Coturnix japonica: one gene and its partner. Each later gene encodes a partner of the first gene's protein in a complex. Links are inferred from orthologs where the notes say so. Each region holds a gene or a part of one and is shown in the gene's direction. Other genes may lie near its edges. The genes, in order: NTRK1 and NGF.

The links.
Region 2: the proteins of NTRK1 (region 1) and NGF are in contact, whole or in part, in a crystal structure (PDB 1WWW), measured with the Homo sapiens proteins. The link is inferred for Coturnix japonica from reciprocal best matches to the Homo sapiens genes NTRK1 and NGF. Residues at the interface, in NP_002520.2 of Homo sapiens: His291, Val294, Glu295, Met296, His297, Cys300, Pro302, Phe303, Ser304, Leu333, Glu334, His343, Gly344, Cys345, Arg347, Thr352, His353, Met379, Asp380, Pro382; in NP_001424474.1 of Homo sapiens: His125, Pro126, Ile127, Phe128, Arg130, Gly131, Glu132, Phe133, Ser134, Ser138, Ser140, Trp142, Tyr173, Phe175, Arg180.

What each region holds. Positions count from the first base shown.
Region 1 is NC_029540.1:690,529-693,325, forward strand, and holds the end of NTRK1 (high affinity nerve growth factor receptor), read left to right. Parts: coding exon 1-86; intron 87-1,021; coding exon 1,022-1,262; intron 1,263-1,419; coding exon 1,420-1,578; intron 1,579-1,727; coding exon 1,728-1,913; 3' UTR 1,914-2,274; downstream 2,275-2,797. UniProt on the Homo sapiens protein: Receptor tyrosine kinase involved in the development and the maturation of the central and peripheral nervous systems through regulation of proliferation, differentiation and survival of sympathetic and nervous neurons.
Region 2 is NC_029541.1:3,993,187-3,997,695, reverse strand, and holds the start of NGF (beta-nerve growth factor), read left to right. Parts: upstream 1-1,450; 5' UTR 1,451-1,516; intron 1,517-4,067; exon of another isoform or gene 4,068-4,432; intron 4,433-4,509. UniProt on the Homo sapiens protein: Nerve growth factor is important for the development and maintenance of the sympathetic and sensory nervous systems.

The sequences.
Region 1 (2,797 bases):
AAGTTCTATGGTGTGTGTGGCGAGGGTGACCCACTCATCATGGTCTTTGAGTACATGAAGCATGGAGACCTCAACCACTTCCTCAGGTGGGTCCGGCCCCTCGCCCCCTCCCCTCTCCATCAACGCGGCTCAGACAGCCGCTCTGCGCTCGCTGCTAATGCAGCCCTCCTTGCAATATTGATTAGATTAGCTGTCTGAGAGGCTTAAATAGAGAGAGATTGGCCATCAGCTGGAATAAGCAGAGACTTTTCGATTGGCCCCCCAGGTATTGCTGATAGACGGGGGGGCTGCCAGAGGCATCGCTTTAGTGGCCACGCGATGAGCTCTGAGACGTGGCTTTTATGATTATTGTTATGGGACTTGGCATTAATGGTTCTGCCGAGCAGAGCCCCCTGCTCCCGGTCCAGCCTCCCCAGCCCGGCTGTCAGCAGCACTGGGCATCAAAGCAATGTGCAGCCCCCGGCCTGCTCTCACCCTTGCTCTATGCACGCCTGCTGCTTTCACACCTCCTGGCACCCAATGATGCACAGCTCAGTGCTGCCGATGTGTGAACAGCATTCCTGATGTGTGCATGCATGGGATTCCTTGCTGTGGGTGCTCTCGTGTGTGCACTAGCACCGTATGCATGCATGTGTGCACTCATATGCCTGGCTTCTCCTGCATGCATGCATACGCAGGTTGATCTGTATGTTCTTTAGCATGCATGCACACACATGCACAGCTTTCCTTGGCATGGTTGCACACTTACACACAGCCCTCTCTGTCCTGGGCTTACACACGTGTGCATACACACATATGCCTTCCTGCAGGCATGCACACACACATGCACTCCCTTCCCCACCATGCATGCACACACCTTGCATGGCTGCATACATACATGCATGTACTTTCCCTGCACGCAAGCACAGCATTTCCCAGCACATGTGCAAACACACACACAGCACTTCCAGGCACAAATGCACACACCTGCACACCTTTCCCCTGCATACATGCACACACTGATCACCCTCTGCCCTGCTAGATCCCATGGACCAGATGCAAAGATCCTGGACCAAGGGCAGGGGCAGCCCTGCGGGCAGCTGACACTGAGCCACATGCTGCAGATTGCAACGCAGATCGCTTCAGGTATGGTCTACCTGGCATCCCTGCACTTCGTGCACCGTGACCTGGCCACCCGTAACTGCCTGGTGGGCCACGACCTGGTGGTTAAAATTGGGGACTTTGGTATGTCCCGTGATATCTACAGCACCGACTACTACCGGGTGAGTTCCACACCCTCCCTACCTCTAATTTCCATCTCATCTACTGCCCCTTTCCCCAACCCCATCCATATTTAATGGCGCTGCTGAGCACTCAGCAGGGAGGGGAAGGGTTGGGGGGTTGCGGGGGGGGATACACACTGATGGTTCTGCTTTGCAGGTTGGGGGTCACACCATGCTGCCCATCCGCTGGATGCCCCCTGAGAGCATCTTGTACCGCAAGTTCACCACTGAGAGTGACATCTGGAGCTTCGGTGTGGTGCTGTGGGAGATCTTCACCTATGGGAAGCAGCCCTGGTACCAACTCTCCAACACCGAGGTGGGCTCAACATGGGGTCTCACATGGGGCTGAGTGTGAAGCCGGGCTTGGCACCATGTCCACACGTGGGATGGGGGGAAGCAAGGAACCCCCTTGCTTTGTGGGGTCTGGGTGCTTGCTGTGTGCTCCATATCCCCCTGTTCCCATAGGCCATCGAGTGCATCACGCAGGGCCGGGAGCTGGAGCGGCCCCGCACGTGTCCCTCTGAAGTGTATGATATCATGCAGAGCTGCTGGCAACGGGAGCCACAGCAGCGTCAGCGCATCCAGGACATCCACAGCCGCCTGCAGGCCCTGGTTAAGACCCCTCCTATCTACCTGGATATCCTGGGCTGAGAGGGAACCCCATCACCCCCAGGCTGGCTGGAGTGCTCTAGCACTGCTCCCTCTGTCCCCCCAACCCTGGACTGATGCCCTGATGCTGGAGAGGGCTTAAACCATCTGTCACAGCAAGACCCCTGGGGGGGGCTGTAGGGCTGGAGCTGCTTCCATAGGGGGCTGTAGCTGTGGCATTTCCCCCACTGTGGATTTGCCCCTGGAGAGACACAACCAGGACCCCCAGCCCCATGGGTGGCACTTGGCTGCTCAGTGTCATGGCTGTTCCATCCCTTCCCATCCCAGCACCTGGCTGGGTGGATGCCCCGCGTGCTCTCCCAATCTGCAGTGATCCTGGTCAGTAATAAAATTGTCCATTTCTCTGCTGCGCTGCCAGCTGGCTGCCCCATGGAGTGTCTGCTGGGTGCCTGGGGGAGGGAGGTGCTTTGGGGAGATAGAAGGGCTTTTTGGAGCAGGGGAAGAGGAACAGAGGGGGTGTGGTTGTATGGGGAAGGCTTGTCCCTACTCTATGGCATTGGGTGAGGTATAGGTTGGTGGTGGGTTTGGGTTAGGAAAAGAGTGAGGATGTGCAAAGCCAAGGTGTAGGTGAGGGGGATGCTGTCCCCAGCCCAGAGAGGGACATAGGGACACTTCAGGGACCCTCTGGCTGGCCTGGGGCTGTGCACAGTGGATGGGTCCCTGTGCCTGAGGTGTAGGGTGGGGACCTTTTGAGCACAAAGGGATGAAGAAGCCAAACCCCCCAAACAAAGGGCAAAGCCCTCCCTTCCCCACACACCGTCACCGGAGCCATGGGGTTATCAAATGCCCTGTAGCGTCCACTTAATCATCCTTCCCAGGGCTCTCCGGCCGCCTTGGTAATGTTTGAGACCTGGATTTGACTGTAA
Region 2 (4,509 bases), on another chromosome or scaffold:
CCCTGTAGATACTTTGACAGGGACTAAAGTCAGATGCAGAGAAGATGGTCAGCCATAGCTGGGCATTGAAATAGCTGAGTCTGAAGGTATTCCAACACCTGTGCATGCTTTGCACAATCCAGAAATGCTTGTAATTGCTGCATTCTTTCAAACAACCATAAGGCAAAATCTCTGCTGAGTCTGAAGAGTAATGTAATGTTCATGTCATAGCTCTGCTTGGTCTGTATGCTGCTTCCAATGGGGTTACATCCTATGTCTGTAACTGCATTTGACAATCAAGACATCCTGGCTTCAGCAGGCTCAGGCCTCTGAGATGCCTGATACATACCCAGCTAACAGAGAGAGAAAAGATTAGCTCAGATCGCATCCACAACCCACCATAAACCAACGTTTCTCATCACCACTTGCTTTGAATTGCAGTGTATTAGAAATGTATTGTGTACAAATCGATTCCCCAATGTGCTGCATGCTGCGTGTTATCGATCCGGTTGAGAAGCCATACAGCCGAAACAGCCTCAGTCTGCACTCAGTAATTGTTTGTCTGACCTATTTATCCATAACCCACCAATGACTCTTCTGCTTTTTTCCAGTAGCTTCAGCCATACACATAATACTGTAAGGACACACAAAATAAGACAAAATAAACCACTAGATTATTGTAGCTTTTAAAATTATTCTTATTTTTTGCTACTAACACAAGAAGAGAACTTGCTTTAGGACAACTCCTCTTAACCTCCTGATTAACACAACAGGGACGAGTTCCCTCCAGGTAGGTAAAAAGGAAAATATTTCCTATTGCTTTACATCCACTTTAGCCCAAGGACAAGAACTCTCAGACAAGTTTACACAAGATAGCTGTGTTTTCCAGGCATTTGTGTAACTGATGGCTTTTCCTTTAGTAAAACAAACATTACCACTTTGAATGCTTCTCTTGAGATGTTTAAAACCCTTCTTGCACTCTCACATCCAAGCACTTCCCAGCACCTAGGAAACATCTTTTTCACATAGACACTTGATATTACAAGGATGTAAATAAGTGTGTTGGAAGAAATAGGTGTCATTATCTTCATCCCAACCCTCAACATCTCTCAGAGCTTGAATTTGTGAGTTCCTCTCAGCGCTCTGACTCCTCCATAAAGGTTGTAGGAAGAGCAGCTGCTCTCATCTGTGTTGCTTCCACAGCCATAAAGATTTCAGAAATAATCCAGCACTGCTTTTATTTTTGGCAGCTTTTTTTCTTCAAAGAGCATTGGTTCTAAAAGGAAAACTGTAAGGGAAGCCTTAGGTTGGGGCTTGAACTGGTGATGGAGCACCTGGTGAAGGGGTGCTGTTGGCCTAAGGAGCAAACTGTTTGCACCTGTGCTCTCCCATGTGCCCAGATGGGCTGGACTCAATGCAGAGCCATCGTGGGTATATAAGGGTATATAAGGAGCAGCCATGGATAGGAGAGCTACTCTTGATTCTTGGCTGCTTCCTGAGGAATGCTGCATTGCCAGTGAGCCTTTCTGCCATCTGGGTGAGTTCAATTCTTCTTTTTGTATACGACTATTGGTCTACTTTGAATGTTTTGCTTGGTATTGTCAGCAGCTGTTTTTAACCTTTTTGAGCAAGACAAAAAGCTTCATTGCTTCTTCTCAGACACCTTCCATGATGTGTTTTCAGTAGCACAAAGGCACCAACTCCAGCAGAAATGCCCCTACAGTCCTTAAGCCTGCTTACAATACTGAACATACCATGTAGGCATAGGGCACAATTTTCATACCCTGTGAGTCTTCCAAGGTGATAATGTAGAAGGAAGCGGTGATGTTGTAAGACAAGGCTATGGCAATGCACAGCTGCTGCTGAGGGCTTAGGTCAATGCTTACTTCAGCCCTGGGGTCAGCAAAGCACAAAGTGCTTTACCTGTAGCCACATCTCTCAGCAGTGACAATATTTGTTTTGGTGTGAGTGCTCTTGTTTCTTTGGAATGTTACTGTGCTGTGTGGCAGTGCTTCTTAGGAAAGCACTGAATGTAATCTTAGGGGGAATATGATTTAAGGATGCTTATACAGGATGCAACAGGGAGCTTGGAACTGTCACAGAGGCAGAGAAATAAGTGGATGTAAACCTGCAGAGGACCAGGATTCACTGGTTCTGTGCTCACAGAGCTCTATATAGAGTTTCCCCTCTGATTCCAGAGCACACCTTCCCTTATGCAGCCTGACATCACTCTCCTTCACCTTTCGTGTAGCAGCTTGTCAAAGCAAGAGAACCTTCAGCTCACAAAGGTTAAGAGCAAGCATCCACGTGGTGGAACCTTTAAAATCTGTGTTTCAAAGCACTGTTAGAAGGAGGAGATCTGACCTCTGTGTGATGCTTTCAGCCACTCAGCTCTGACTATAGCAGTCCACCTGGAATTAAACACACTGTGTGTGCCCATAGCACCGCACCTACTCCAGAAGCTAAAATGGTGTTTGCTTGGGGTATGTGGGAGCATAAAAGCAGTGACTATGTGCCAGTGCTTTATCCCATAGATTGCTGCCGCTGGTGTGAGCTCAGGAGGTAGAAGAGTAAGGTGGAAGAGGAGTGTTTAGACAGAAATAATGTGTCAGATTAAGTACAAATACTATCATTACAGTGCTCCAGAGAGCTTTTGTGGCCACACACTTAAGAAAAAGGCAGCTTTTCCAAGAAATCTGTTGTAGAGATGCTGAGCATTAACATCTTATCTGCTTTGATGTTGTTTGCTGCAGCCGCAGCCCTTCAAACTCTGCAGCTCAAAGCCATCATCTGTGTATATTCTAGGAAATAGGTGCGGCAAATGCTCCCTCAGCACGGGGGTTGTTTGGTATTTCTGCAGTGAAATATGAAGTTAAGGCCAACTCCTGAGGTCAGGTTTTACAGGCAGCACTTCACACACTCTGATGACTGTCTGTGCAATTGAAAAAGGCTTTGGCCTCTGTGGATAATGTGTGGAAAGCATTTTTCTTGTAGAAAAACAAAGCAATTTGAGCTGCGGAATTCTGGCAAACCGGGGAGGTAGTTCTTGCAGTTGCATTAATCATGTTGTATATAGAACTTCCTTAAAGATGATTCAGGCCATTTTTAAACAGACACCACTTTAAAGTCCAGCGCTGAAGCTGCTGTTTTGTTTGGCACTATGAGACAGGAACAAGAGTTGTCTTCTAAGCTTAATAAGATATGAAGATCAGCTTGGTACATGTTCAAAGAGCAACACATGTGGCAAATAAGAAACACTATGATCTCCAAGCTGGTTTTTCCCTCTTGCTCCACACCTTTATGTGTTATCTTCCACATGTTGGTGTTTTTTCCCCTTGACCAAAAGATCATAGGGATGAGTCTCAGGATGGCTGCCCTCTTCTGGGTGGAATGGAAAGATGTTTATTATTGCCACACTGAGAAAATGCAGCGCTCTTATTTTCCGGGGGGGATAACGTAATGATTTTTGTTGCTCCTCTGTGCAATCACAAAAGTTAAATGGTGATGGAATGAGAATGGTGAGATCCCAGGTGGCCGCTTTGCAGTTCCCAGTGTAGGCAGCCAACTGCCTGTGGCTTTTCTTTATCTTCTATAGTTCTCCACTTTTGTGTTCCTTCTGTTGTTTATCAGTGCTTAAAACGCACCATTGTTTCCTTGCTGCATGTACTTAATCCCCCTTCATAAAAAATAATGGAAAACATTTCCCTATCTCTTTGCTGCTTAAGGTAAGCATGTTAAACACCGAATATTATGGCTGGAAGGGATTTTACATAATCTTTTCCTCTGCCCCAAGTCAGGATCAAATATTTCTTTGCTACTCTTGAGCTGCGTTTGGCTGAGCCCTGTTAAAGAGGGCCAATAGTGGGGATTTCTGCAGGCAACTCAGTGCACTGCTTCCCCAGTTAACTATTAGCATTCCTTCAGGTTTGTTTGTCGACAGATGACATGAGTGAAGGGCTCCAGAGATTAATTTCAAAAAGACCCATTAATTACAGAGCTCGGAGTTTGTTTAATTGGAGTGCAGGGATTAAGATGCAAAGTAGAAATGCTGGAGACCTAAGAAAAGAATCCCTTAAAGAGAGTGTCAGCTCTTGACAGTGGAACCAGGAAGTCAGAGGCTTTTCTTGCTATTATGCATGCACAGTCATACAACCAGTGCATGCTTTCAAACTTTCACTGCACATCTGTCCATCACTGCACGGGTTCGGCACCAAGCCAGCAGCAGAATTCCTACGAGTCTGTGCAGCTCCCACACGTTTACAGCACTAGGACCCTGAGGGAGCTTGATTTCTGTGAGTCAGTGCAGCTAGCTGAGCCCTGAGAGCAGTGAATGAGGCTGGGAAGGCAGAGGGAATGTGAATGGCTCTTCTGGCTTGGGAAAGTATCCGCAGACTGGGGTGCTACAGACTACAAAACAGCCTGGACAGCCTTCCAGATTCCCGTCCCCTCTAAGGTGAGTGACCACGCAGCAGCAGTTTTCACAAAGCGAGTTGTGTGGGATTGAACGAGTTGTGGAAGTTTGGGATCTTC